Linked DNA regions of Diceros bicornis minor. The protein of the gene in region 3 purifies or fractionates together with the protein of the main gene of each other region. This does not show direct contact. Links are inferred from orthologs where the notes say so. Each region holds a gene or a part of one and is shown on either strand. Other genes may lie near its edges.

What was found.
Region 1: the proteins of MED8 (region 3) and CDK19 purify together in Homo sapiens (affinity purification with mass spectrometry; 6 studies listed by BioGRID and IntAct, counting the BioPlex papers as one, with this or other methods). This does not show direct contact. The link is inferred for Diceros bicornis minor from reciprocal best matches to the Homo sapiens genes MED8 and CDK19.
Region 2: the proteins of MED8 (region 3) and CDK8 purify together in Homo sapiens (affinity purification with mass spectrometry; 7 studies listed by BioGRID and IntAct, counting the BioPlex papers as one, with this or other methods). This does not show direct contact. The link is inferred for Diceros bicornis minor from reciprocal best matches to the Homo sapiens genes MED8 and CDK8.
Region 4: the proteins of MED8 (region 3) and MED9 purify together in Homo sapiens (affinity purification with mass spectrometry; 5 studies listed by BioGRID and IntAct, with this or other methods). This does not show direct contact. The link is inferred for Diceros bicornis minor from reciprocal best matches to the Homo sapiens genes MED8 and MED9.

What each region holds. Positions count from the first base shown.
Region 1 is NC_080762.1:24,558,262-24,565,551, reverse strand, and holds the start of CDK19 (cyclin-dependent kinase 19), read right to left. Parts: upstream 3,311-7,290; 5' UTR 3,160-3,310; coding exon 3,032-3,159; intron 1-3,031.
Region 2 is NC_080748.1:9,635,804-9,643,546, reverse strand, and holds the start of CDK8 (cyclin-dependent kinase 8), read right to left. Parts: upstream 3,146-7,743; 5' UTR 2,643-3,145; coding exon 2,515-2,642; intron 1-2,514.
Region 3 is NC_080752.1:6,335,510-6,343,077, forward strand, and holds the start of MED8 (mediator of RNA polymerase II transcription subunit 8), read right to left. Parts: upstream 3,382-7,568; 5' UTR 3,328-3,381; coding exon 3,322-3,327; exon of another isoform or gene 3,258-3,321; intron 1,931-3,257; coding exon 1,812-1,930; intron 1,127-1,811; coding exon 982-1,126; intron 454-981; coding exon 313-453; intron 121-312; coding exon 39-120; intron 1-38. Other genes in the region: KICSTOR complex protein SZT2, read left to right, coding at 3,533-3,559. UniProt on the Homo sapiens protein: Component of the Mediator complex, a coactivator involved in the regulated transcription of nearly all RNA polymerase II-dependent genes.
Region 4 is NC_080757.1:945,631-953,689, reverse strand, and holds the start of MED9 (mediator of RNA polymerase II transcription subunit 9), read right to left. Parts: upstream 3,382-8,059; 5' UTR 3,328-3,381; coding exon 3,101-3,327; intron 1-3,100.

The DNA.
Region 1 (7,290 bases), on a different chromosome or scaffold from region 3:
ATGAATGTCTGCAAAGTTCAATAGTAGTATTGTTGGGTACAGAGGTTTTTAGACATACTAGCCTATGGAATCATGTTTGTCTGAATCTCTTGACAAAAGAACTTTTTAACAATATTCCTTTATCAATCAAAACAAAAAGGGTTTGAAACTTGAGAAATATGGTCTTGAGATTTGTAACCATAAACTGTTGTGTGTGACTTTTTACTAATGTTGAAAGAAAAACTGTATTACAAATTATTGCTCATACTAAAAAGCCTACAAATATCATGAACTTGTTTTCTTTTCAATGACTTTTAAGCCTGATTTTTTTAAAACATATAGTAGAGTCAAAAGACTCCCTTCCTTCAAAACAAAAAGATGGAACAAATAATATTTTTATTAAAGGTGAAAAACCCAGATGTAAATCTTGCATTTCCAGTCTGTTATAAATTTATGTAGCATAATTAATATAGCCTAAGTTAAAGTCATATTTCAAGGGAAATAACATTCTAAGGTTTTGTAAACTGTAGTACTAAATTATAAGCAGACTTTTCTAATGTTTTATGTTACTTCTTCCAGCATTCTAAACACCTGAACAATTTTTTGCTTATATACTACATTACATACACCAGAATGACTTCTCTTTAACATATCCACGTGATTTCTCTCTTGCTCCCTAAAATAGCATTATACGTTTTTCTGAGTTAACCAAAATAAATTCTGGAACGAGCTAAACTGTAATTTACCACGATCAGAGTGTAAAATCCTTTACTATGCAAATCTGTATCACAGTTTAGAACCATCACTAAAAACTTTTTGTTCTTTCAAATGGCTGGTATCAGTGAACATAAAACTAATCCCACTACCAACCCACAAGAGATGGGTGTTTATGGTAAAGCCTCAAATCTCAACTAGACCCTTGGCCCAAGAAAAAAAGCTTCATAATGATTTTCCTTACATGTAATATAGTGATTTAAACGAATGCTTTCAGATCCTAAAAGGTTTTTTAAAAAACATATTATTTTGAAGATACACAAACTGATCTTACTCTACTAAAGAAGCTCTATTAATTCTAATCAAACAAATTTCACTCAAGAAGGAAGTGTATTCGAATCAAGAACTTTATTAGAAGGGGAAATATTCCAAAAGAACAAATAGAAGCAGGAATTAAAGTATCTGGTTTTTGTTGTAGCCCATACTATTCAAATACAATTCAGAAGCAGAATTTTTAACTTTTTCTCAAAAGTTGCCTGCTAAAAGGAAGCTATTTTAACAACAAAAATATTTAAATACATTTTTAAAATTCCAGGTCAAGTATATTACAAAGTTAGCATGAGGATCATGAAAAAACACCACGTATGATTTGTAAGGCCAATGTCCAAATAGGAAAACTAGATGTGCTTTCCCCAAATATATCTGATAAGATTCCCACAAGAATACAAGTGTAACAAGCAGAGTGGATATTCCAAAAACAAAATACAAGTTAATTACAGTACCTCACATTCCAAGATACTCATGCAAGGACTCCTGGCAATTAACTCAAAGAATTATGAGAAAAGTTTAGAAACAAATGAATACTATGGGGCCCGCTGAGTTATAACAAGAAAAAAATTATTTGCAATAATAACAATCCTTTACACTTGTATAATACCTTCTAATTTTCACGATACTTTATGATAAAACAATTTACAGTTGTGCTTTTTCGTTTCCTGTATGAAATTAGCACGCACGCACACAACCCCCTACCTACTTTGGTCCTGGAGTTCATAAATCAACCGTATCAATTACAACAGAGTGCACAGAACGATAAGCAACACTGCAAATCTTACTAATGTCATTGTGGCTGATATTCAGTTTATTTGGAAATGTTCCGCTACGATCATAAAAACTCTCTTCCACATAGTTTCGCCGTCTTGAGAGTCTAAGCGGGACAGGCAGATGTTCCTGGGCTCCCTAACTCTGGGGGAGGGAAATTCCTGCCAGGATGGACAGCGAGGTGACCGCTGGTTTAAACCTACTCTTCGCAGGCCGGGAGCTGGTTCCACCTGTCCTGCAGTGGAGCCCGTCTGCCCTCCAGGACGAAGGACAGGCGTTCTCAGTACAGTACCCAGCTCGCCTCCTCCAGAGAGAACAATCAGTAAGGGCTTTCTAAGGGGTTCCTACGGGTCTCCCTCGACTCTCAGGAAAACAAAGGTTCAGGCCCAGCTCTGTGTCACTCCGCATTCCGTTCTGGATAATCTAGGTGCCCGAGGAACCCCAGCACGCAGTTATTTGGCAGCAGATGCAGAGGACATAAGAACACCCAAGGTGGGGGAAATGAGTTGCCAGAGAACTAGGCGGATTCCGAAGTTCTGCGGGCAAAACGCGGTTAGTCTCGCAGGAGGTCCTACATTCGGGGGAAGGTGTGGAATTCAGAATGTGAACAAGCGAAATCCGGGGCGGGGGAGCAGGGGTCCAGCAGTCGCCGGGCATGCGACAGGGACAGAAGGGACTGCACCGAGGGGCCAGTGGCTGGCCGGCCCCAAGGGCGGAGGTGCCCAGAGGATCAGACCCGTGAGGCTGGCTAGGACCCCGGCGCGCGGCCGCCCGACGGGCTCCTCGGCGAGGTTTCAAACCGCCGCCCCGGGAGGCGCTCCGCCGATTGGAAGTTGCACAACGACCGTCACCAGCTCAGGGCCGGAGCGGCAACTCCTCGGCGGAGCTCTCCCAGCCCTCCGCGTCTCCCCAGGAGACCAGACCCCGCAAACTCCACCTCCCACCGAGGTCCCAACTCCAGTCCCGCCGCCAGCTCCGCGCACGCGGAGGGCGCCCTCCGGGACGGACCGACGCCCCCCAACTGGGCTGCGCCGCGGGAGCCCGAGGGGCGCGACGGGGCCGCGCGGAGGGCGGGCAGAACCCGAGTCCCTCAGAGTCCGCCCCGGGACGCGGCCCCGCGACCACCTCCGCTTCGCCCCTCCAGCACGGCCCGACCGGGCTCCGACCCACCCATCCCGCGCGGTCGCGGGCAGGGCGAGGACCCGAGCGAGCCTACTCCCCCCGCCCCTGCTCTTACCCATCTTTCCGCCTCGCCTTGTAGACGTGCCCGTAGGTGCCGCGTCCCACTTTGCACCCTTCGTACTCAAACAAATCCTCCACCCGCTCCCGCTCCGCCGCCAGCTTCGCCTTGAAATCATAATCCATTGTCTGCTTCCCCCATAGAGGCACCGGGACGCGGGGGCCGCCGCCGCTCAGTCCCTCCTCCTCCTCCCCCCGCGACCGCCGCTCCACTTCTCCAACAGCCGCCTCTCGGGCGCGCGCGCGCCGCCCGCCTCCCCGCGGTCCGCCTTCAGCAAGGGACTCCTCGGCGGCAGCAGCAACCACCTCCTCCACCTCCTCCTCCTCCTCCGCGGCGGCGGCGGCGGCGGCGGCGGCTCCCGCAGGCACCCCCAGTCCCGCCTCCCCCCTTCATTTCCTTGTTTTGGAACCTGGTGGGCCGCGCCGCGGCTTCCTCGAGCTCATTAACGAACCAGCCCGCCCGCCCCGAGGTCGCAGAAGCTCCTGGGAAATGTAGTTCCGCAGACCTCAACAGCAGCCGAGTTTTACCCGCGAAAGAAATACAACACCCAGGTTGCCTTGGGCCGCTACAGCCTCGCCTCCACAAGGCATGCACGCCTGCGCACTAGGGCCGCCCCTCCCCCTCAGGTAGCGCCGCACTGCCAGTTCCTGTGAAGGTAGATAGCGCAAAGTTGCAGTGTGCTTTCTGCGAGTCTGTGGGAGCTGGTGGAAAAACGGCTCTTGTTCTGGTGTGCGGGAACTACTGCACCGTACCCCTGAGCGAGGAGGAGGGTGGAAAGTATTTAACAACCGCCCAGCCCACCAGTTTGCTCCAGTGGTTTGAGAGGCGAGGACTGTGGTTAGGACAGTTGTACTGCAGATTGTTGTTTGTTTTTTGTGGCAATTGGTCCGCCTGTTGCCCCGCCCCCCCGTCCAACCGCTCATTGGCGGAGACTGGAGAATGACGTTCTCGTTGGTGCGTGGGTATCCCCAGGGTTTGGCTTCTTTCCCGCTCTTGATTGGTAATTGCTTGCGCTTGCTTCTTCCTGATAGGTTAATCTTTTTTCTTTACCAAAACCGTATTTCAAAAACTGAACTTCCAGCGGTTTCCTAGTTCCAGCATCGGTCTGAGAATATGTAACTTTTTTTTAATTAATTTATTAAATGTGCTTCTATAGGGAATCAATATTTCTGTTTGTGCATATTTGGTATGGCATCTTCATATTGTTCCTGGCCAACAATATTCTGTAAAGTGTATTTTTGTGTGTGTGTGTGTGTGTGTGTGTGAGGAGGACTAGCCCTGAGCTAACATCTGATGCCAATCCTCCCCTTTTTTTTTTCCTTGAGGAAGACTGGCCCTGAGCTAACATCTGTGCCCATCTTCCTCCACTTTATATGGGACGCCACCACAGCATGGCTTAACAAGTGGTGCGTCAGTGCACGCCCGGGATCTGAACCTGTGAACCCTGGGCCGCTGCAGCGGAGCGCGCGAACTTAACGACTTGCGGCACCGGGCCAGCCCCAGAATATGTAACTTTTGAGCCCTAGCTGCCAATCATCCTTTTCTTGGCACTCTAGACGTAGTGTCCTGCTAGCATCTGCGGTTCCCATAGCCAAGCTTTGACCATCTGTCTAAGGACAATTAAAGCGCCTGGAGAATGCAGCATTTTAAAAACAATCATTTGAGTTGAATTGTAAAGGGTTTTTTACGGTCTATGCATAATGGTGACGTTCTCCTAGAATGTTTAAGCGAGTCTCCTTAATCAAGGCGAACATTGATTCATTTCATTATTACACGCATAAAGTCAGGTGCTTGGGATACAATCTTAAACAGGATTGGTGCTAGGATAGGGCTTTTATACCACACTGAGTGGGAGGACAACGAGGGAATGGTCGATTCTACCTGAAGTGGTAACGAAAGTTAATAGTGACCTACCTGCTTGCTAAGTTTTGGAAGAAACCTGGAAAACTAGAAGGAGGAGGGGAGAGGATCTTTTGTTTACTATGACAGTAAGTTTCCCGGGAAACGTCTTCAGATCTTGAAGTCAATCCAGAAGTATCTGAGTTTCTGTTATTTCAAGGCACTATGATAAGTGCTGGAGATATCAAATGAAAAATTTTTTTTTTCCATCGAGGAACTAAAACTTATTGAAGAAATAAACATGCGAGCAAATCAAAAATAAACTGTATGGGTACAAAAAGTCAATGGTAGGATAGGAGGACTTCTAGAGGAGTCAGGGTAGGCTTCACAAAGGAAGTAGATTTGAGCCAATTTAAAGAACCTCATTTGGAGGACAAGTGGGGAAGTGGGGAGCAGGGAATTATTTCAGGCAGAATGGCATGTACATACATCATGAGAGAACATATTCTGAGAAATACAACTAGCTTAAATATTATAGGTCAAGGCAGGGAGAGGTGATGGCTAAGAAGAGACGGGAACAGAAGTCAAATTATGATAAGCTATATATGCCAAGCAGAAGTTGTAGACTGCATCATTCTGTAGGCAGTAGGAAACCATTAAAGACTTTTGAGCTAAGGAGTAATGTAATCAGTGTTGTGTATTCAAAAAATCCTTCTGACAACAGTGTTTGGGGTAGATTGGAGGTCAGTGAGAATAGTAAAGAAGCTATTGCGTTAATACTTGTAAAACACAAGGATCTGAACCATGGAGTAGCAATGCTGATTATGAGGAAAAGGTAGATACCAGAATTATTTATGAAACAAACTCAACAGGACCTGATAATTAAATAAATGTAAGATTAAGGGAAAGAAAATAATCCAAGATGACTTCGAGGTTTTGAAATAAAGGAATAGGAGCAATTTTTAAGAGAAAGATGATGAGTGTGACTGGGGCACGTTGAATGTGAAGTGCTATGGGGCATCAAGATAGAAATAACAAGAATGCAGATGAATATTTTTACCTACCAATAAGACATGTGGCCTAAATGTATAGATTTGGAAATCATCAATGTATGACGGTGGGATGTGGAGAATATTTTTTGGTGTGTTGCTATTTTTAAATAAGGAGTTTTGCATTCATTGTATCCTCAAAATATCCCTATAAGGTATGTTGTATTATTCTTCCCATTTTACATATGAACGAACTGAAACAGCTAGTAAATTGCAGAGCCAGGGCTTAATGAATATGTACTTGGGAGTAAATGGAAAGTGGGAAAATGTGTTAGTAAAAATCAAATATAGATTATGAAAATCTTAAGTGAACAAATCAAAAAGTTTGACCACACCTTGTGTTACCAAGGATAGGGGGAAACAGACACTCTTTTACATTGTCAGTGGAAGTATATATTCACAAAATATATACCAATATATACATTAGATTTTGATCCTTGAAACATCTATCAAAATTACATAGTAGTATCCTACAATTCTACTCCTTGTGGTGGATGCTGTGATGTGCCTCCCAGACCCCTCTTCGGGACTAAAGGATGTATTCCCTCAAGCTGCTGAGAATGCTGCTCCAGACAGCCTGCAGCTGTCAGCCCTCTTCAGGAACTTCCTTGACTGAAGAGCCACCTCACCTAGGTCATGCCATTTTCCTAGAGCAACCTACATCCAATGACTGATCAATGCAGGGATATAAAGGCCCAGACCTCTTACCCCACTTCAGGACAACTCTGATGGGTCATCCTGTCTTCAGAACTCCCTATGGGGTTGACTGAGGCCGTCACTGAGAATGCATTACAGACCAACTTTTCAATCTCCCCCACCCTTCTTTCTTCCTTTCTCTTCCAGAGGTATTGATCTCAGAAACACTCTGTAATAAACTGATTACATGTTAATCTCCATCTCAGGGTCTGCTTCCCCAGGAGCCCAATTTGTGATATTCCCCATGTGTGCAAGATGGAATAATTCAAGGTGATTCACTGAGCATTGTTTCTAATAGGAAAGGCCTGGAAACAACAGAAATGTTCATTAGAAGGGGACTGGACAAATAAATTATGGCACATCTATCAATGGATTATTATGCAGCCCTAAAAATAATGTGAAGGCTGAATAATGTGAAATATGCTTCTCAGATCTCCTCCCTGCAGGGAGGCCCCAGCTGCTAAGCTCTGAATCTACCACTGCATTTGGTATGAGGCCACACTCCCCATGGGCTGCTCCCAGCCTATGGCTGAGCATAGCAGGATGCTACAGCAGGTCCATTCCTGCAAGATGCAGGATTCCTGTGTTGGGTGACTTTGGCTGAAGGACTCCCCAGGCTTAAGCCTGTCTGAACCTTTCTTAGAGCTACGTTGTAGTCTGAGTCACTGCCTA
Region 2 (7,743 bases), on a different chromosome or scaffold from region 3:
GAGAGGATAAAACATTTACATACATTCATTTTAACAAATATGTCTAAACAAAACTTATTTCATGTTACTGTAAATCTCAGGATCCTGTTGGAAGGTGTTACTGTCTGGCTTCCTAGAGTACCCCGAAATTTCAGCCGCAGAATATATAACTTAATTTGAAAGTAAATCAATACTAGAAACAAATTATTTGATCATCATCTTTTTATAAAAGATTAAACACCCACAAATTTTATTTTACCAGGACTAAAATGCATTCAATTACATTTCACTGACATAAGATCAAAAGAACCTCATAAATACAATGCTATCTTTTACCAGAGCAAGGTTATAAGAAAGAAGCCAAACCGAAAAATATTCCCTCTGGAAAATAAAAACTGTTTTAAGTAATTTTAAAACTCTCCTGACATTTGATCCATTTTAAAAAAAGTTCATCCTATAAACAAAATCATTAAAGGTTGCTGGAAAACAAGTCCCAAGAATTACAAATAAAAAACTATTTTTTTCCAAAATGCAATGCTACTTTTCGGCTATCACAGATGACTAAGAAATGTTCCCATACTATACATTTAGTTATTTTTAAATTGCATAATTCTTGTAAAATTATTCTTAGCCTAAATTAAGACCTGACCATGAGGTATATAATGTAGTTAAAAGTACCACTTGCCAATATACAATATTATAGCTTTTATACAACATTATAGCTTTTAAATAAAATATAAAATCAAAGTTAATAAAATTTGCATATTTATTAGCTTAAATTGGTAATTTATGAAAACAGAACTGGCTTCTCTTAGAAAGATTAAAAATAATTTAAAGTCACCAGAATTTTATAAAACAGACAACAGACTGGTCAAATGTACTACAATGTCTCACCTCATGGACGTGGGGATTTTATGAATATGCCCAAAATTACATAATATTGGGGGATGGGAAGATGGTTTAAGGCTTTTGAAAAATATTGTATGGGAAGTCAAGGATAATTTTTAAATATATATGTTATTACAGAGTAATACTTCACGACAAATATAATTAAACAACAGAGTCAACAGTATTTCCAGACGCTGATTTCTCAAATGTCACCAGACAATCTATTCCACTAAAAAGTACTTTTAAATACACGCAACACCCAGGGTATCAAGTTTTCAAATCCCTACCTTTTGCAGATAGCTGTACTGCTTTACTGCTGCATATAAGCAATGAAATGCACATTCCAAATTAATTAGAATTACCATCTCCCTCTTGGAGCCCATTTTAAGTTATTTTAGAAAAGTATCTCAGTAAATCTAAGAAAAACGTTGACTAAATATACACTTCCTTTCCCAATATCCAGAAAACTAAAGTATTTATAAATATGGCTTCCCCCGCCAAGTAACTTACTACAGCTTTATGAATGGTTTCATCTCTTTAATGCTAATATAGTTCTCAACATACACTCCTACATAACTGGAAAACATAAGCAATTATTTTAAACGTTAAACAGCAGCTAACCAAACTAACAGTGATGTTCAAGTAAAGCTACTTTGTTTATAATAAAATCTAAAGATTACATAATAACCTTTGACATCATCTTTCCAGCAATTTTCTATAGTGTCAAAGACAACAGAGGCAACACCCGTTTTTCACAAGAGGAAAACAAGGAGTTAATTAAATATATTTTCTCCTCAACTAAGAATTGCCTCCTCTTTTGTCAATATTACAAGACACTCATCTACTGACAAAGGAAAAATGAACACTTCACTTGCCCGTTTAAGAAACTAAACTGGGAGCATTACCAGCCACAGACTTAATCAAGTTATTTCTAGGGAAGAATATCTAAAGCAAAGAGACTATTTAGAGTTCACTGCCAGCTGCTAAATTTCGGGGGAACAGCCTGAACAAGATAACCCCTATTTGTCACTCGCCTTTTTCCCCACCACCCACCCTGCACCAAAGCCCCATTGTTCTATGTAAAACTCACAGCTAATGATATCTAAACAGCAATCGCTACACTCATATTGCAGACGATCACTACGAGGAACTCTTCAGAACCACATTTACTTGCTGCTTTCTTTCCCCCAAGTAAAATCCAAATTTGGTAATAAATCAATCACAAACTGGTGACGGAAAGGATCACAGCTTCCCTTCCAGACTGATGGATGTCACTCCAGAGAGGGCTGAGGAAATCCCCATGTTACCATAATAAATTGACCCCCCAAAATCATCTAAACTGACGTTTTATAACGAATTTTTAAAAACATCTAGTACCGAAACCCTTGAAAAGTATACAGCCCGTAAGGTAGAGGCTCCTTTTCCCTATGAGCCACCAAAGTAGAACAGAGACAGCAGCACGCAGGGTTTCGTGCGGGTTTGGATCCCTCGTACACTTCCTCCCCAAACCTGCCAGGCGGGCACAGACGCGGGTGTCGAGGAAGTGGGTGACCGGCACTCCGGCGCCCCGCTCTCCCTCCGGGCTACCTGCCTCAGCCTGCGGGAGCGCCGCCCAGCGCGGACACCGGCACAGACACAAACACTCACCCATCCTTCCTCTTGGCTTTGTAGACGTGACCATAAGTGCCTCGGCCAACTTTGCAGCCCTCGTATTCAAACAGGTCCTCGACCCGCTCCCGCTCGCTGCTCAGCTTCACTTTAAAGTCATAGTCCATTGTCACAGCCTCCGAGGCCGGGGAGCTGGGTCGGGGGGTCGGGGGGCCGGGATGGGGACCGTGGACGCAACGGCAGCCGCAGCCCCCGGGAACCCGCCCGCTCTACACCCGGCGGCCGCAGCACCAACCCGACTGATGCGGCAAGCGCAGGAGGAGGCCCCGCGAGAGCGCCGGGGACATCCAGGGGGGCAGCGGGGCAGAGGCCGGCCGGGGGGAGGAAGGGGAGGTTCCCCCGGGCGAAGGAGAGCGGAGGGACGAGGGCTGGGGGTGGGGAGCGGGTGTCTCTGCCCTTGTCCCCGCGGGCTCCCGGGGCGCCGGCTCTCCTGCTCCCTCCTGCCGCGCGTTGTGCTCCCGCTGCGAGGAGCGGCGGGGCGGCCACGGCGGGCTCTGCTCCTCTCACGCTCGCACTCACGCCTCACCCTCTCTCACACACACACGCTCACACTCACTCACTCTCTCACTCTCCCATACACTCAAACAGAAAGGCAGTGCGGCACAACAGCCGGTACCTCCTCAGAGAGACCAGGAGGGAGGGGAGTCGCGGAACACGGCCGCGGCTGTCGCAAAAACGTCGCGAAGGCTCAGGCTGCCTCCGGCACTCCCTCCAGCCCGTTCCGCGGTAGCTGTCCGCCCTCGCCGGCGCCGGCACCCAGAGGACCGTGTGGAGAGAGCCAGATACCTAGTGCCCGAAGCTGCCGCCAAACGCACCACGTGGACCGTCCCGACGGTGGCCAGAGCCCCAGACTACAATGCCCAGAATGCACCGGCCTCCGCTGCTGCCGCCCCTTCTAGACTCCACCCCTCCCAGTGGTGATATGGGGAGCGTTGCATAATGGGATTAGTAGTCCAAGGTGAGATTAGTTTCAATCACTTAGGGGAAAAATTATTTTTTTACAGCGATATCGCTAGAGTCTGATTTGGACCATAACCTTAACCAAAGAAATTCACGTGTGAGGAAGGCTAGTTTGTATTAGAATCCCATTTTGTGCCACTGCCGAACTCCAGATTTTAAAGGGTATTATCATTATGCAAAAAAAGTCTATGAATTTGTAAACAGCTCACAGACTATCGGTTGGTACAGTGTTCTTGTTCACAGTCCGATCAGGGCTGCACAATAATATCATCTTACTGACGCACATTACAAACATCTATAAAAAGGAATCAATGACGAGTGTCCACGCTCCTGCTAAATAGTGTTACTCTTGTGACAGATGACCATCCGAAATCTTCCCATCCATTCAGAGGGGACATTATTTTGAGTACAGGCACCACTGCCTGTAAGACCAGCAGTTTTTAGCCATGATTACAGCAATGCCTCTAAATCCATGGAAGCTAATTTGTTAATAATTTTAAAGTAGGAAAGGTGTCAGCTGGAGGGATCCAGATATCTTGATAATAATCCCTCATTTTGTCTTATCTCTCTTATTTACATATCTATTTTTTGTTTTTCGATTTTATATTTGTATTTATTTTACATTTCCCCATTGCTGCCGTTTCCACTAAGGCTCCCCACTCCCAAAAGGACATATAATCTCTTCCACTTTTAAACTCCCATACCACTTCTTTTTCACCTTTCCTGCAGTGTTTATCAAATTGTGTTTTGTCTTTTATTTCCTCTCCCTTGCTAGATTATAAATTCCTATAGGAAGTCATATTTGCATCTTTCGTAACACCTAGTATCTTGCCTTAATTGTGGTGCACAGTAAACAATTGTTGAATTAATAAGTAAGCATGTTTATGTCAAAAATATCCATGTGCGGGGGCTGGCCCCATGGCGTAGTGGTTAAGTTTGGCGCATTCCAGTTCAGCAGTTCAGTTGGCAGGCTCGGCTCCCAGGCGCCGACCTACCCCACTCCTTGTGGCTGTGACCCACATGTAAAGTAGAGGAAAACTGGCACAGATGTTAGCTCAGTGCTAACCTTCCTCAAGCAAAACATGAGAAAAATTGGCAACCGATGTTAGCTCAGGACTAATCTTCCTCAGCAAAAAATAAAAATATCCATGTATAGATGATGATGATGATGATACCATTTTATGAAACATCCTTGAAAGGACTCTTTTCTTATATAAGTTTCCTTGGAGAAAATAGTGACTTCACCACTGGTTTAAATGAAGTTGTTTGTACCTAGTACATTAAATATTATTTAGCGGTTAGTACACTGACTGGTTAGGTGGGCCTGGGTTCAAATCCTGCTTTGCCATTTATTAGCAGTGTGTCCTTGGACCCTCAGTTTCTTTCTATACAAAATGGAGATATAAAAGGCCCCAGCTTAGAGTAAGTGCACAACAAAGGCAAGCTTTCATCAAGGGGATGTGATGTGGTTCTATTCAATGATGTAAATTGGGTGATTCTCTAGCAGAACAGTTCCTTTGCTTGGTTAAAGAATTAAATTTTTTCCTAAATATGGATTTAGAATAGACTCTTCCTGGAAAAAATATTTTGTGTTTCTTGAGGGATGTCTTTTTTTTTTTTTTTTTTTTGTGAGGAACACTGGCTCTGAGCTAACATCCACTGCCAATCCTCCTCTTTTTTTTTTTTTTCTGCTGAGGAAGACTGGCCCTGGGCTAACATCCGTGCCCATCTTCCTCCACTTTATGTGGGACGTCACCACAGCATGGCCTGACAAGCAGTGTATCGGTGCGCACCCGGGATCCGAACCCTGGGCCGCCAGCAGAGGAGCGCACACACTTAACCGCTACGCCACGGGCCAGCCCCTCAATCCTCCTCTTTTTGCTGAGGAAGATTAGCCCTGAGCTAATATCTGTACCCATCTTCCCCTATTTTATATGTGGGACGCCACCATAGCATGACCTGACCAGCAGTACCTAGGTCCATGCCCGGGATCCAAACTCGTGAACCCAGGCCACCAAAGCAGAGCATGTGAACTTAACCACTATGCCACCAGGCTGGCCCCATGAGGGATATGTCTTTTCTCCAAGTATTTACTCATAGATCTTGAGAAATGAAACCACCACACTGGAGGAAAGCTTGTGAAGAAGCCTGGAACTGGGCTTAGCCCTGCACTGGGGGTGTCCCCACCCCCATCTCCTGCACCACCTGCATATGATATTCCCGAACACTGAAGGTCCCAAACTTCTTAAAATGTACTTTTGACTACTGTTTTGACTGAATTCATTTTGTGGATGCCGGTAAGAATTCTCCCTGAAGAACTTGAGTGTTCCTTTTTTTTTTAAATAAAGATTGCATATACTTAAGATGTACAACATGATGCTTTGATACACATATACATGGTGAAATGATTATTATAGTCAAGCTAATTAACAGTGTTCTTACTGTCAGTAATCCTGGGGCAGGAAAGGAAGCTGGCCTTTGGGGAAGAGAAAAGCCTGCTTTTCTCTCTGAAGCTAGGGTGAGAGTTAGGAGTCTGAACTCCAGGTTGGGGGAATATGGTGGTGTAAGGTAAGCTGGCCCCTTAACACAGCGTCAGGATGGGGAGCTAAGAAAGAGATAGCCACTAGGGCCTCTTACACAGGAGCTACCTTGTATTTCAGTCATTTATTTTATGCACTTGAAAAAAATATGTCCTTTAATAACTGAGTCTCTGACTTATCTCTGTATCTCCTACAGTGCCCAGCACATAGTTTGCATAATTATAATTAGAATGTTTAATTGGATCGATTTCTATAAAGATTGAAATGGACCTTAATACTAATAAAGGGGGGGTGGTGCAGTCATTTTAAAACATTTAACATCTTGCCTCAGTCTTGCCTCTGAAATGTACTTTTTACAGCGTGCAAAAGCATTTAGTGCTTCGTGATATACTAATGGAAAAGCCCATGTGGGTCTTCTCAGAGCTGATCACTTCCTGTCTCTACAACTTTTAATTCATTTTTCGTAGTATCAAAGCATGCTTTAAACAGAAAGTATCTAACCTCCCATTCAGCAGGTGGAATATTCATCATCTTTATCATCAGAAAGCACATATTAAGCAACTGCATTCGAGTACAATGTTAGACACAAGAAAGAGCAAGTTAGGTCAATAACACTCCAGCCTTTTTTAATTGTTCAAAACAAATATTGATGCAAAAAGTTTCCCAACTAACTCTATAAGCATGCAGAATACAATTTAGAACTTAAAAACAACCAGAACCAAAAAACACTTTCAAAAATAACTTTCTTTTCTCTACTTCATCATGTGAATCTCATTTGTGCTTATAGACTCGTTTCCTCCACACAACTAGAAACAAGACCACTAATAGTTGCTGAATTTTATGTCAAGCAACACCTGTCATTAGAGAAGAATTGACTCTGTTTCTCAAGTTCAGTGCTAAAAATCCCAGGAAGGGCTCTAGTCCAGCTGAGTCAGGGGCCCATCCTGGGCCAATGAAGTGTGGCCACGGGGGCAGGGTCATATAAAAATATGAGAGCTGCTTCATTCAGAGAGATGTGGAAGATGAGGGTAGGGAGCCCGCAGGAGAAAGGAGAAAGCTCTAAGAACTAAGAAGGAAATAAAACAGGGCAATGCGATGGAAAGTGGGACCAAGAGGGGATTACTTTAGATTGGGTGGATGGCCAAGGACTCTGAGGTGATTATGCTTAAGCTGAGATGTAAATAATGAGGAGCAAAACCTGCTAAGGTGAGGCAGCAGAGTGGTCCAGGTCGATCAGATGGACAGCAAGTGGAAAGGCCTTAAGCCAGGAACCAAGGAGCAGAGAGAAGGCTTGGGTGATAGAACTGTCATGAGTAAAGGAGGAAGTTGTGTGGGATGAAGACAAAGAGGTAGGCAGGGACCAGATTATATAGGGTCTTTTAGACCATACTAAGGGGCTTGGATTTTATTTTTAGGGCAATAGAAGGCCACTGGAAGGTTGTAAGGAGGGAGTGACCAGATGTGATTTATGCTTTAAAAAGAATATCCTGGGTGTTGTGTTAAGAATGGATTGTAGGAGAAGATTGAGAGACAGAGAGAGAGAGAGAGCGAGAAAGAGAGAGATGGGACTTGCTGATCAGTTGGATGGAAAGGAAGGACTCAAGATAACTCTTGAGGATGTTACCACTTACTGAGATGAGGAAGACTTCGAGAAGAACAAGTTTAGGAGAAAAAAGTAAGAGCTCCATTTTGGACATATCAAACATGA
Region 3 (7,568 bases):
TTCTTTCTTTCTCCATTTTGCCGCCAATCCCTGCATACCTCCACTCTCTGATTCTCGTTCCTCTTTGCTGATTTTCTCCAGAAGGTTTGAGCACATTTTATTCAAGCTCTGGATCTGCTTCTGTAACACATAAATTTGTGCAGAGATTAGGGCAAACAAAAAATGATCACGGGGAAGTTTATTCCTTGTGCTCTTCCAGGGGCAACTTAGGTATAACCAACTGTGCATCCCTACCAGACAGGAATGGTAATGCCTAGCTTCTCATGATGGGACTTGCGGGTAGGGGGCAGCAGGGCAGTGACTCAGTCCAACCTGAGCTGCATCAGCACCGATGCGGGCAGCATCTGTTGTCAGTTGCTTCTCTTGCTCTTCAACCTCAGGGTCAGGCTTGGTTCTCAGGTGGTCAGGAACCACCTCATGGCTGAAGACAGGCACTCGTCCTTCAGTCTGCCGCTGTAACACACAGATTTTATTGATCCTACTATGCACTCCAAGAAGATTCAATCTGGCCTGCTATATAGTTTCTTCCACAGGCAAACACTGCATTTTCAGGGAAAACACAACCTGAGACTTATAATATCTAGCTTCCTAGGACACTATTCTCCTCACTCCATCCTTTATTTCTGTCTCCTCACACCTCTGTCTCTACCAGACCTGGGGGCAAACTCTCTCTACCACATTTTAATCTAAGAGTGAAATAGACAAAGTCACAAAGGAACATACTTTTTGCTAGAGATAGGGGTTGGAGGAGAAAGGTCTTTGCCTTGGTGACACAGGCCTCAGGTTAATTCACCACTATTTGGGAGTGGCTCCCCCAACTCCAGAAGGACAAAAAGCAAGGCCTCCAAAATGCAGCCCTTGCTTCTTATTGTCACACACTACTCCACATTCAGAACTTCTAGAATAACCAACCAACAACTGTGCTCTGAGTCCTCATCTAAGAACTTAATTCCCCAAGTTGTACCCTTCTCCTCCTCTTACCATGAGATCTTCATCTCGGTCTGGGGACAACACCAGAGGGATGATGACCTGGTTACGGAAGAGTGGTGTCTTTTCATGCTTCAAGACCTTGTTCAGAGTGTTCAACTGTCCAGAGAGCAAGGCAAAGCTGTCCAGGACAGAGGGCCTGGTGGTGGTAAGAGGGTGTCAGAATGTTCCCAGTAAAGCAGCCTAAAAGGGGTCCTTCAGACTAGGAATACCCAGACTCACCCCAAAAAGATTCATAGCCCTGTGGCTGGGCTGGGCAGGAACCAGACTGGCTCACAGGGATTACGTGGTTAGGAAAGAGGGACACACTTCAGTTTCTGACATAGATGGAGAAAAAAGGCAGGTCATTATTTGAATGGGGTGAGGAACAGTGGCAAAATAGGAACCATGGCTACACTGTTATCACTAAAAATTCAGAAACTGGGTAAAAGCCTCCTTTCTAGCCTGGAAATAGGATCCACACTCTCCGAGTAGGTGGACCTAAAAGACTCAGCACCATCTATGCCAAGAAATCCAATACGAATACTGTATTCCTACTATAGTGGGAGGATACACTGAGGGAGGACCTCCTCCTAGAAAAGTCAAAGGGTGAGAATCAAAAGCTAGAAAGAACCTGGGTTGGCAAACTGGGCACCTCTCTACTTCCTTGCAGTGGAGGCCCTAAGCCAAACTCCACTTGTTATATGTTGGGAAACCCAGTTCTTTCCAAACAAAAAAATAGTTGCTAACTGATAAATGGTTACATCACTGGAGATGTCCTATCCACCAAGAGTCCTGGCTCCCCACTCATGGAGCCCTCCCCAGCTTGCTCTGGCAACCCTTACCAGGTCAGCCGGTCATACTCGTTCTCCAACTTGTAAATGAAACCTCCCAGTGAGTTCTTCAGATCAGCCACTTGGCTCAGCAGTGCATCTAACGATGCTTCAAGCTGCTTCTCCTCCCTCTGCACCAATAGGAATAGGTTGGTTACCCAGACGGGTGTGAGTATGACACACACAGAGGAAGGCTGAAATGCCAGGATGACAGTGTGCAACACCAGTCAAGTAACACAGGATCTTGTTGGCATAGAAGAGACAGGTTTTTGTCTATCTTTGGTATTTGGGTTATAGACAGCATCAACCCTTAGACCTTTAAACCCATTCACATGACATCAATTCCTCCTGCCAACTGATTCCTTTCTTGCATCATCTCCTAATCCATGCCTGGTTTTTCTCTGTATTAGGTACTAGTGTCTCTCACTGAGAAATTTTCACGAGACCTAATGCCTTGGATTTATTATCTTTTGCATATCTCTGCAGCATATGTACTCCAGCTTCCTCTGTTCTAGAACTTGCCTTGTGAACCTGGCTGTTCTTGCCAATGACACAATCTCTGGGAAATCTGCCTACACATGAAGGTTTCTCTGAATACCGGCCTTGCACCACCACCTCCCCCCTCTTCATTTGCCCTCAGCATCTGATGTTTCAACCTCCTCCTTGCTGAATTAATCTGCACTCATTTTATCTCTGTGCCAATATTCCTGTGCCCCTCTCACAAGCTTTGTCAACCTATAGTCGTTTACTGACAGACTACCAGTGCAAGAAACTAAGACTGGTTTCTTGCACCACTACCAGCTGCAAGAAACTAAGTGACAAATGAAAGACAAAAAAATGCACATGGTCCTAAACACTAGACAAACAATTTTAAATGCTGGGGGGGGGTCTGCGACGCATTTCCTTCCCGTTTATGGTCTCCAGTTTTACTTCATTTCCTCATCCTTAACAACTATCAGGCACAGGTTGGGAAGAATGATGCAAAACCGTCTTGCAAACTCGCCAACGTGTAGAACAGGAGCCTTGATCCTTGGTTCCGCCCACGGCCTCAGATTATAATTACCTTAGCTTTCGGCCACCGCGGTCCCACAATTCTTTCACCCTTCGGGCTTCCCTCCAATTACAGATGCCCTGTTATGTCTGCATCCAACAGCGTCCATCCAACAGCCTAGGCCGGGGCCTGAGCCAGCCCATCAGTTCCCCGAGCCGTCTGCCTTGGATTGCATCTCAACCTTCCCAAATTACAACCTGATCCTTTCCCACACTGCAGCAAGTCAGTACTGCCTCCTCCCTCCCAACCTCGCCGCATCTCTGTCTCCTGTCAGCCGGGCTCCACCCCATCTCTCATCCGCGTCTCTCCCTCTCCAGTCGGCGTCGCCCCGCATCCCGCGTTCCCTCATCCATCAGCTGCGGGCTCTGCTCCCTCCTCTCAGCCCCAACTCCTCACTCTCTCCTCAGCCAGCCCACTCTCGGTCCGGTTATCCGAAGCCAGATAGCGGTCAAGAGCCCCCACCAGGCTCACCTGCATTGCGGCGGCAGTGGCGGCGGCGGCGACTTCCTCTTCCGGTTTCCAAGTCAGCCAGCCACTCGGAGAGGGCGTCGTCCACCAATCAGAAAACTCAGAAGTCGGCCCTCGCACTCATTTCTGGTTCCGGTCGGGAGCGCGGTAGCCGGGTCAGGGGTCACGAGTGGAACGTCTTTTCTGGCCCCGGCCGGCGCGGGAGGGCTGTGCGATGGCCTCGGAGCGCCCGGAGCCGGAGGTGAGAGGCGGGCGGGCGCAGCGCTGGGCCCCGAGATCCGAGGGGGAGGATCAGGCGGCCAGCGCGGCCCTGACCTCCTCTGGGTCTGGGTGAGGCCGGGCCGCGTAGCCGGGCCCTGGACCGGCCCAGCCCCGAAGGCCGGACCGTTGAACCTCCTCCCCGCAGTCCGCACTGTCCTCAGGGGCTAGAGAAACTTCGTCGCTTTGTTTTGTTTACTGAAATTTTATCCACGTCGCTGATTTGAGGGCTCTCGGATTCTTTGACCTGATAATGGTATTAACAAAACCTGTGTTTTGACTTTCTGTTGCAGTTTCAGTGGGCAGCACGGCATTAGACTGACTTTGCCGTTTTCTGCATTTCTTCACACTGGAATTCCATAAATAGCATGAATTAATTTAGTTCTAGCGCTCATGCTTTTGGAAAGCAGCTTTGGTGTCGTGAAAAGACGTTTGACTGGGAGTGAAACCTTGATCCAGTATTGGTGCTGCCGTTTAGCAATCTGTGCGACTTCGGGCAAGTCTTGACTTCCCCGATCCTGTTCCCTTCTTCGTAAAATACCTACGTTATGGTGTGTTGTGAGGATCACATGTATTAAACCAGAAAATGCATAGGAGGTATCTGTAAAGCGCTAAGGACCATGCAAGGAGCTTTGTATACTACATTGTGTTATTCAAACTTGTGCAAGGAAGGTGGCAATATCCACTCTCATTTACAGATAAAACTGAAAAGTGAGAGAGGTTAAGTACCTTACCCAAGTGCTACTCAGTTGGAGAGTAGCCGAGTTTTGGAGTTAGAAGATCCGAGCATAACATCTTAGATTTGGAAAGAATGACTCACTAGGAAAGGTGCCCAGTATTATAAAAGAATGTTTAAGTAGATGGGAAGGATGAGGATGTGTATAACGACACAAATAGTAGTCGTTACTTAACGCTATCCCATGCCGGGCACCTTCTAAGCACTTGACCAATATCAACTAATGCTCTCAACCCTGTGAAGTAGACACTATTGTCATCCCCATTTTTCAGTTGAGGAAACGGAGGCACAGAGATGTTAAGAGTAACTTGGGGCCGGCCCGGTGGCGCAAGCAGTTGAGTGCACGTGCCCCGCTTCGGTGTCCCGGGGTTCTCACAGGTTCAGATCCCCAGCACCACCGGTGCACTGCTTGTCAAGCCATGCTGTAGGGGCGTCCCACGTAAAGTAGAGGAAGATAGGCGTGGATGTTAGCTCAGGGCCAACCTTCCTCAGCGAAAAAGAGGAGGATTGGCATCGGATGTTAGCTCAGGGCTGATCTTCCTCACAAAAAAAAAAAATGTTAAGAGTAACAAGTTACACAGCTAATAAGTAGTAGAGCTAGGACTCCAAAACAGGTGGTCTGCTCCAGATCTTGTGTTCTTAACCATAATGTTTATAGTATAAATAAAAAACTAGCCACAGGATGGTAAATCTCCAGTCCATTAGGATTTGGTGTGATGAGACCCGGGATTGAATATGGCTGTAGGAAACTGCCGTATTTAAAGGAATCAGACTTGTTCACAGGGTAGTGAAATAGCTCATGCATCAGAAATATCAATATTGAGAACTCCGTGAAAGAATTTGGAGTATGTTTCATTATGAATTAAAATGAGAGGAAACAGAGGGATGTTGTGGGGAAATACAACATACCTTTTAGGCAGATAGTCTAAATTTCCAATAGAAATCTAATGCAAGCTGTAAAAATAAATTTTCTGGTAGCCACATTTAAAAAAGGTAAAAAGAAACAGGTGAAATTAATTTTAATGTATTTTATGTATTTCCAAAATGTTATCATTTCAACATGTAATAAATATAAAAAATTATGTGGTATTTAACATTCTTTTTTGGTACCAAGTCTTTAAAATCCAGTGTGTATTTTACACTTACAACACATCTCGTTTGGACTAGCAACATTTCAAGTGGTCAGTAGCCCCGTATGGTAGCAGCTACCGTATTGAACAGTGCGGATCTAAAGTAGCTTGGAGTCAAGACACATACTCCTGGGAGTATTCAGCCAAAAATTAAACATTTGTTAAGTTCTGGATTTGCATTTCTGAAAATTTTATCTCAGAAGGTAAAGGGAGTGAAGAGTTCTGCCCCTGGGCAAAAAGTGACTGATTTTTAGAGGTTTTTTACAATCCCGAGAGAGAGATAGAGCATAGTCAGATTTAAGAAATCATTCATTCATCAAATACTTAACATATTTTATGAGTGCTACTATGGACTTGGAATTGTGCTAAGTATCAGGGTGGATACAGAGCAGTGTAAGACAGACATGTTCCCTATTGTAATGGAGTAAACATTGAATTATGATAATAAGTGCTGCAAAGGAAAAATACAGAGTGAGTGAGTGTTTAACAAGGGTTCTTAACCTATTTCGTTAAGAAGTGGTTGGGGGGGCCGGCCCGGTGGCGCAAGCGGTTGGGTGCGCGCGCTCCGCTGCGGCGGCCCGGGGTTCGCTAGTTTGGATCCCGGGCGCGCACCGACGCACCGCTTGGTAAGCCATGCTGTGGCGGCGTCCCATATAAAGTGGAGGAAGATGGGCACGGATGTTGGCCCAGGGCCGTCTTCCTCAGCAAAAAAAGAGGAGGATTGGCGGATGTTAGCTCAGGGCTGATCTCCTCACAAAAAAAAAAAAAAAAAAAAAAAAGAAGTGGTTGGGTGAGGGGGATCAGGAAGCCGCCTCAGAGGAATGACATTTAAGCCTGAAGAATGAGAAGAGGCAGAGCACATTACAGGCAAAGGCAATAGTGAAAATCCTGAGGTGAGAAGGAGCTTAGAGCCTTCAGAGAACCGAGAGGAAGCAGCTGATTGTGTGGGTGCTGTGTGACATGAGAATAGCTAACACAGTACTTACTAGATATCGTCTAATACTCGTAAAATCCTCACGAAGTAGGCGCTGTTTATCCCTGTTTCACAGAGGAGGAAGCGAAGGCACAGAGAGTTTAAGTAACTTCACCAAGGCCTTATATTGATAAGCAGCAGAACCAGCATTTGATCCTAGGCGCTCTAACTCAGGGGGAGTTGGGTGAGAGATGAGGCTGGAGAAGAAGATTCTGGTTGAGCCCATGCTAGAGGTTCAGGACTTTGGCATAAATACAGAGGTAAGGAATCTTCAGACAATTCAAGGGGGAAGAAAAATCTACGTTATTTCATGGGACTCAGCACAAGGGTTGAAAAAGGCTCAAAAATAATTTGTACCTTAACCATAAAGGGACAGGTGCAAAAAACAACAAATTAATGAGATGGGTGATTTCCTTCATCCTGGTATACATGGTATGCAGCACAGTGCCTGATGATGTTTTATTCATGTTGTTATAAATGGTATGTAGGCCTCAATAAATGTTCCCAAGAATGATAAGCTTTTTCTCTCATAGTTCTGACTCCCTTGTTTAATTGCAACCACATCCTTATGAAGTAGATATTCTTATCCACATGATATCAATGAAGAAACTGAGGCCTGGAAGAATTAAGTAACTTGTCCAAGCTCACCTAGATAGCAAGTAGTAGAAGCAGATTTGAATCCAAGTCTGTGACTCCAAAACCCTGCTTTCTCTTTGCCAGACTGCTCCAATGCACCTCAGACTCAGGGGGATTAAATGTGGGAGAATTGAAGCTTCATGTGTGTGGATGCTGTGAGAACACAACTAATTCGGGAATTCTCAAACATTAAAGTAGAAGAATCACTTGGGGAGCTTGTTAAATGTAGATTCCTAAGCCCCATCAACTCTAATTGGTCTGGGATGGTGCCCAGGAATCTGCATTTTAATAAGCACCTTAGGTAATTCCGATGTAGTTGGTCCTGGGGTCCCACTTTGAAAAATACCATTCTAGCTGTTTAAATTAATTCTTAAGTCGTCTGATTCTGATAAATTACATCTTGAATGTGAAGAAAACTTAGAGATGGTGTTTTGAAAATGTAGTTGTTGAATTGGAAGGATCGTGTATAAGGGGATGTTGCAAGAAAGCTCGAGTTAGGCAAATGCTCCTGGCTTCA
Region 4 (8,059 bases), on a different chromosome or scaffold from region 3:
ACTTTTTAAAAAACCTAATGATGTAGTATTCTGAATTCTTTATGAGAACAAGGAAGACTAAACTCACTTCAGCTTTTACTTTCTTATTCACCCCCTGCACAAGCAGTAAACAAATAATAAAAGGGCCACTGGGGAAGCTACGGGAGAGGAGGAGACGGAGGGCCTGGGTTACTGAGCCGGTCCTAGCCCTCATTCCCTCTCGCCAGGCCTGCCAGGACAGCGTCCTACCTGGCTTCCCAGCCTGTCCGCTGAGATGCCACATCCATCTCGAGCACAAATCTGACCAAGGCTCCCCAGTTTGAAAGTTTCCCTAGCTCCCCATCCCTCAGAGGACAAAACCTCACTCCCTGAGAGGGATGTGCTGTCCTCCCTATGCTGGTTCTTCCCACCCTTCCAGTTCTCCCTTCCTTGGATTTATGCTCCAACCCCACCAAACTGAGAGTCGACCCCCATGAGTTGATGCTATTTCTTGGCTCCCCACCATCCCTCTCTCCTTTCATAATTTAAGACTCGTGGTTGGCATCACCCCTTAAGGAGTCTTCTGACTCCTCCAGGTTTCACGAGGTCTCCTCTCTCATCACTGCCCTCATCAGTCTGTCTCCTTCCCTCATTAGCCCATAAACTCAAACACATACCTAGACATGATATTTTAAAATCGGATCCTAGCCTTTTTTCATGGTGATAGCATCTCTCCTTCTCTCTATGCATACTGTTTCTTCCCAGTGGCTTTTTCTGCTCTTGTTTTGTCCTGTCTTTCTTACTAGGGGTTTTCTTCACATGCTTAGTGACCCTGGCTACCGGGTCATATGAACTGACTGTGGTCTTTCTTGGGGAGCCCCCAATGACTTTTCTCTTGGGCTGGTCAGACACCCCAGAGAAGGTACATCTATTCTCTTTGGCTGCCAGTCTAGAAGCCAGGTAGGGGAAGAAGGCTAGAGTGGGGTCTCAATATCCAGTGTGTGAACTTTCTCTTACTCCCTATTTCCAACATGGCTCCCTTGAACTCCTGCACTGTGCCTGGTGTCCCCCGAGTCCAGATAATCTTTGGCTTATTCTTTCCAAAGAATAAATCTCGGGAAAGAGCAACCCTTTAATTGCCTGCCAAGATGGAAGAAGAGCAGTCACCTGTCTGCTTCAAGTGAGGAGAGAGGACTGTGGGGATCTGCTGCTTAAGGAGACTTTTAAGTAATCCTCCTGTTCTTAGTCCCCCGTCACCCCTATTTCCAGAGGTCCCTGGCAACGCCAATTCCTGAGACGTGGGGGGAAGCCACGGTCAAAGGCAGGTGCTTCTGCCAACCAGGGGCTGATAGGTGGGTTAGCCCTTGGCCATCTGCTTTGTGGCAATTATCTCCTCTCCTGTTCTTTTTGGGTCTATGCTTTAAAAAAAAAACCTCTTCACTGTCCTTTTAGAGGAAACTGAGACAAACATGAAATCAACCCACCATCTCTCACAGGAGGATGCTCTTGAGTAGACCTCACAACAACCTTACCATTTAAGTATTATTAGTTCCATTTCACAAGAGAAAAAGAGGCTCAGAGAAGCTAAGTAGTTTGTCCAAGGTCACCCAGCCAGTACGTTATACGGCTCTAGTCTGAACCCATCGTTTTGAGGTCTGTTATTATTATTCACATATTAGAGATAAGAAAATAAGGCCTAGAAGGGTTACATGTTCTCCCAGACTACAAGGCAAGCAAGCGTCAGCATGAGCCTTGAATGCAAGACTGACTGCAAAGCCATGCTCTCTCAGGGGTACCTTGCTGCCCCTTCTTTAAGGCCAGCCCAGCTCAACTGCTCTACTGGGGCTCGAGAACATACTCTGCAGGCTCCAAGAACCGTCCTTGAGAATGTGTACATTTTGTGCTTTCATTCTTCCATATTTTTCTTAAAACCGGTGTAAGAGTATTTGCATTAATCTGGACAGCCCCTTTCCAGTCCAGTACTGCGCTGGGGCTGCAGGGTCGGCGTCCGCAACTGTGTCTGCAATCTCACTGCCGCTGCAAACTGCTGCCTGCTGAGCACAGGCTAATGAGAGCAGACCGGAGTCTGCCTGACCCTATAAACAGGATGCTCACCCCGAGTGAAGCCACATGAAGTCAGGGTCTAACGCCAGAACAAAGGCTTTGTGTTGTCTGAAAAGTGGGGGAAGAATCGGGTCAGCCCACATCAAGTGAAGTAGTCCGGCTACACTTAAAGGCTGGGCCATGAACGCCACTTCCCTGTCGTGAGCAGAAATTCCATCTTAGCAAAACACCCAAGAGCACAGTGACGTTCACCTGAATGTTGCCGTAACAGTAATCTTCGTTTTCATTTACTTTGTTTTGGTTTTTAACAGCTGAATAAGAGTTACGAGCCTAGGAGTTTACACCTCGTATCGTGCGGATATAAAAAACAGTAAAAACAATTCAGGCTAACATGGGGATCAGCAAGACTCTTCACTGTGTTCTTTTTTTTTTTTCTTTCACAGGGTCAGTTTGCAAACTGAGACTAACCTGAAGGCTGGTCAAAAGGATGACAATCCCCCCTTTGAGACTATGTGAGAACACAGTTAGTACTACAGGGGTCGATTTGGTGGAGCGACGTCTGTGTCTCGCTGTCTGCGACGTTTCCCACCCTCCCCCCTCCGGCGTTTCTGAACTACGGGTCATTCCCGCTCGCGTCTGCCTCTCCCTCCAGCCGAGGAGACGCGTGAGAAGGGCTGGTCAGCCGGCCCCTCCTCCTCCGCAGGCCCCCAGCACTCAGCAGTGCGTCGGGCGGGGCACACGAGGCACCGTCGGCTCTGCGAGAAGGGGAGCCAGCGGGCGCCCCCCCGTCACGGAGAAGCCGAGGCTCAGACGCCCGAGCCGCTCGTGACCAGCAGGACGCACACTCGGGCGGCACGGCAGCGCTGTGGCTCCGAGAACACCGCCAGGCCGTCCGTCGCGAGGTCCGGCAACGCCAGGGCTCAGAGCGTTTGCCGGACTCACGGGCCGAGCCGGTGCGGTCCTGGGAGAGGCCTCGCCCCCCGGCCTCAGTTTCCCCATCTATAAAACGGGGGCGCACCCGCGAGCGCCCGCACGAGAAGCGGGAGGGCGTGTGGAGCTGGTCCTCTCCAGCCCTTACCATTTGATGATGTTGTGAACCAACGGCAGAAAGGAGAAGTTCTCCTCCTCCTTCACGCCCGCCGGGGACTGAGGCCTCGGCGCCGGAGACCGCTGCGGCTGAGGCGCGGCGACCGGCGGCGGTGCCTGCGGAGGCAGCAGCGACTTCGTCTCGGGCAGCGGCGGCTCGGCCGACGGCGGTAACGCATCCTCAGCCTGTCGCCCGGCGGCCACCCCGGCGGAGGCCATGGCGCTCAGGACCGGTCACTCAGACAGCCAGCGAGACCCGAGCGGTGAGCCCGCCGAAAGCGTCGCGCTGCCCCTACGTCACTACCGCGCGCCCGCGGGGACGGGAACCGGAGAAAGGCTGTGAGCATGCGCACCAGGGCGTACGCGGGGCAAAGGCACGGGGCGGGGCGGCTGTTACTAGGTAACAGGAGGTCGGCGAGTCTGCGGTGTCCTGGGTTTGGTTGCGTCGAGAGAGCTAAATTATTAAATAGTCAGGAGATTTATTACAGAAATAACATCTTATTCCTTTTCACGTGACGACGAGGGTCCAAAAGCAACTAATACAGGAAGCGTGCGATGAATAAGGCCCAGCACGGCCCAGCCCTGGGAGAAGGCCGCCCGAAGAACCAACTTGAACCGCGCGCGGAGTGGACCGCCGTCACCGGGCGCCTGCTATGTGTAAGGCGCCGGCCCTGCGGGCGTCGAGAATGCGGAGAAGGACCTGCAGCGCCTGCACCACGCGGGAGCCTCCAGGGGGAGAGGCGGCAGACCCTGGCCGGGCGGTAGTGCCACAGCGCGTGCCAGCCCTGAGGACGCAGACACCAGAAACGGCGTCCCCCAAAGCTCCGCGGGGCTGGGTAGGGAGGAACTAGTAATTCAGTATTTAATATACATCTCCTGGAGCTGCTCTCCATACCTGTGGGCGACTTCCTTAAGCCCCTAGGTCCCAGCCGCCTCGCCTCTATAATCTTTAGTTCAGGGTCATGGCAGAGCCTAATCTGCTTTCTAACTTCAGATACATGGCTGACCTCCAAAGGTCTAGTTCACATGAGGACCCCCTAGGATCCTAGGCCAAAGCGGGTTACTTTTGGTAGATTTGTCGTTATGTTCCTCAAAACAAGTATGATATGGGGGCTGTATAATAAATTTCTGAGCAGTGGGGACACTGATCCTAAGCTTAGCTAATGAGTGGAAGAAGATGTGAGCTAGGAGAGCCCCATCCTTCCTTAGTCTACCATCCTGGGCCTTTAACAGAGGCGAGGAAGTACACATTCAGGTAGCAAGATGAGCAGTAGCACTTAAGAGCAACGTGGCCTATCCCAAGGAAAGCATCAATGCTAGTATTTTCGGATGCATCAGGAGGGGTTTATGGAGGCAGGTGCTAGGGGAGCAAGACCATAGAGGGAAGTAGATGTTGGAGAGTGTGCTGTAGACGCCCTTTAGTCATGGGCCTCAGTGCAGCGTTCTTCAGCAAGAGCTGCCCAGAGCACTCCAGAAGGAGAGCAAGGGGAGGGAGAAGGCTGCAGGGTTTTCTTCCTGCCCACCATGGACCTCTCCACCTAAGGGAAATGTTTAAGAGTCCTGCTAGATAATGGAGGAGAAAGGCCTGTTGGGATAGGACAGATGTGCTTGAAAAGAGTACACCCTTGGAGTCATCTGGGGAAAAAAATGATGGTATAATAGTAATAATAATAATAGTGATTACCACAACTACGGTGGAATAAAAATAGGGACAAGGAATAGAGTCACAGTCTTTATCTCATTTAATCTACAAAAGAGGGCTAAAAGTAGATGTTAGTATCTCTCTTTTATAGATGAGGAAACTGAAGCTTACAGCAGTTAAGATACTGGCTCTGGGTCACATGGCTTGCTTGACACCAAGCCTCTGGTCCTAACGAACACATAGGAGACCTCAGGTTCCAACCAGTTCTGTAACTTTATGATTCAAAATGGTAAAAGTTAGATTTTTATTCAGAATTCAAAAAGCAATCCGATATTCATCAATAATATCTCCATGGCAATGACACGTCCTCTTTTCCCTCCCAGTGTGTTTTGTAACTTAATTACAAACCCCAGCTTTATCATCAGCAGGATAATGAAGACGTCTCTTTTTAAAAAAAGAAAAAACACTCCAGGTATAAATAGATATGGCTAAAAAAAACAAATTGGAATCGTAGGAAGCATGAACAAGTAGAGTGCATTGACAATTTGCCATAAAAATAGTTAATCTAATTAGTGGCAAAGCGTAAAGCTGACTCTACAGCATTGCAAGCGGATGTCAGAAAAATAATATCTGGCCTGTGTTGGTTTCATTAAAGCTAAAATTGCCACAACAAATGTGTGTCTGTTCATAACCGCTTTGTTAAAAGTCAAAAAGGGTCCACTGATATGTAAGGACGGTATATTGTTAGAGATGCCACCAAGTTAAGCTATCTGGTTATTGCTTTCTTAGGCAGAGTTAGGCTGTTTCTCATAGAGCCTTTCCAGGCAAGTTGGTGGTTACAAGTTCTGGCCAAGGAGCCTGCCTGCCTGACTTGAGTCCCAGCTCAGTCTGTTTGAAGTTGTGTGACTTTGGACAACTGCACAACCCCACTTTGCATAGCCATGCAACCTCCCAGGAGGACCGAATGCATTATTGCATACAAATCATGGAGAAAAGTATCTGTGCACAGTAAATATTAGTTCTTGTTATTCAGATTTAGGGTTTGCTCCTTCACCAATTAATAAAACCCGGACTGATGGCAGTTAACAGGAATGATCTAGAATCAGAGCTCTCCAATAAAATATAATATGATCCATAAATGCAAGCCACATATGTCATTTTCAATTTTCTAGTAGCCACATTAAAAAAAACAAGTGAAATTAATTTTAGTATGTTTTACTTAACCCATTATATCCCAAAATTATTTCAACATGTAATCAATATTAAAAATTATTAGAGAGGTATTTTACTGTTTTTCATACTGTCTTTGAAATCTGGTATGTACTTTACATTTACAGCACATCTCAATTTGAATAGCCACGTTTCAAGTGCTCAGTCATCACATGTGGCTGGAGACTACAGAACTGGATGGTGCAGTTTGAGAGATGAATACATATCACTGTAGACAAAACTCACAATCAAAATGGTGAGAGGAAAAAAGCAAGTTGCACAAGAGAAATAGAGTATGTTACTACTTATGTAAATATTTGAAGCATGAAAAATAACACTATACCTCATCCATAGATATAAGACATATATAAAAAAAGTTTTTAAAAGGAACTGAAAGGTTTACTACACATTCCTGGGACAGGGGATGGGAATATAACCAGCACTGCAACTCTCTGTGTAATGTTATATTTCTTTTATATATTGTGAGAGGACTTAAAGCAAAAAGGAAAAATATGGACAATTGCCAAATATAGAAGTGGGTACGTGGGAGTTTGATACATTAGAATCCAGGTTCTGCTAGTTTCTGGCTGTGTGACCTTGGACAAGTCATTTAACCTTCCTGTGCCTCAGTTTCCTCATCTGCAAAATGGAATCATAACAGCCCTTTCCTGATAGGGCTGCTGTAAGGGTTCCAGGAATTCATGTCTGTAAAAAGCTTTGAGAGTAAGCACTATTTAAGCTTTAGCTTTAGGAGCTTAAATAGCTCCTATTTTGGAGATAGGTGCAAAAATAGCCATCTCTCTGTCAGACAAGTGTCACGGGGATTGTTAAACTGGTCATGTCATCGAACCATCGGGGGCTTTGTCAAAGCTATGTCCTTACACATGATTCATCCTTTTCTTTGATCATCTGGAGCCTCGGGCAGGGTGGAAAAGCTACATGATACTTTGATTTTTGTGAGTTAAAAAAAAATAGGGAGCAATCATTATTCAGGCCAAACGTAGCGCAGCACGTGCCAAGAGTCAGCTCCCTCCAGCGAGACGCATGCTTACGCCTCAGAACAAAGCCTTTGCTTCAGATCTGCCTTGAGATTGCTTTTCTTCTCTCTCTGAGCTCAACTAAATTTATTTCTTTTTGTTCCTTTCAACTGTTCTGTCGTTACTCCAAGATACTCCATTATGCCCATTTCTCAACCCGCTTGTTTCAGTGGTTTCATTTCCAGAAGCACTCTTGATGGGGTATTTCAGCACACAAATTCAACCACATTTCTTTCAGACTCAGAATTTTCTCCTTAAGTCCTCTCCTTTAGTCCTTATTCCTGCTTACTATGTTTCGCCAGACCTCCACCCGCTTTTGATATGATACAAATGAGAGGCAATCCATTCCAGGAACTAGTTTTTTACTAAAATGGTTCATTTTTGTTGTGATATCATATTTGTTCCAATCTCTTTACTCAGTCATTTTCACTCAAATTATTTGTTAGCCAAGTTTTTTTTTCCTTTCTACCAGCTGTTCCCCCAAAGCCTCATCCTTATCTCCTTCTGTTAATCCTTTTTAAAAAAATAACCTCTTTCTCATGATGGCCTTTTGGCTTTTTCTCACTCTTCAGTCCTCCCTTTCTCTAGAAGTTGCCTTGTTTTCTTTATTGGATTTATTGAAAGTCTTTCGACTCTTGACTACTAACTCCAGTTGCAAAATTGCAGTTAAAAATTATTGGGCCGGCCCCGTGGCTTAGTGGTTAAGTGTGTGTGCTCCGCTACTGGCAGCCTGGGTTGGGATCCCGGGCGCGCACCGACACACCGCTTCTCCGGCCATGCTGAGGCCACGTCCCACATACAGCAACTAGAAGGATGTACAACTATGGCATACAGCTATCTACTGGGGCTTTGGGGGAAAAAAGGAGGAGGCTTGGCAGTAGATGTTAGCTCAGAGCCGGTCTTCCTCAGCAAAAAGAGGAGGATTAGCATGGATGTTAGCTCAGAGCTGATCTTCCTCACACACAAAAAAAATTATTATGCAACTGGCATGCTGAAGAGGATAGGACCTTCGCTGCCCATGAGTGCTGTGTGGCTGGTCTTCGTGGTTCAGGCCCGTGGCTGG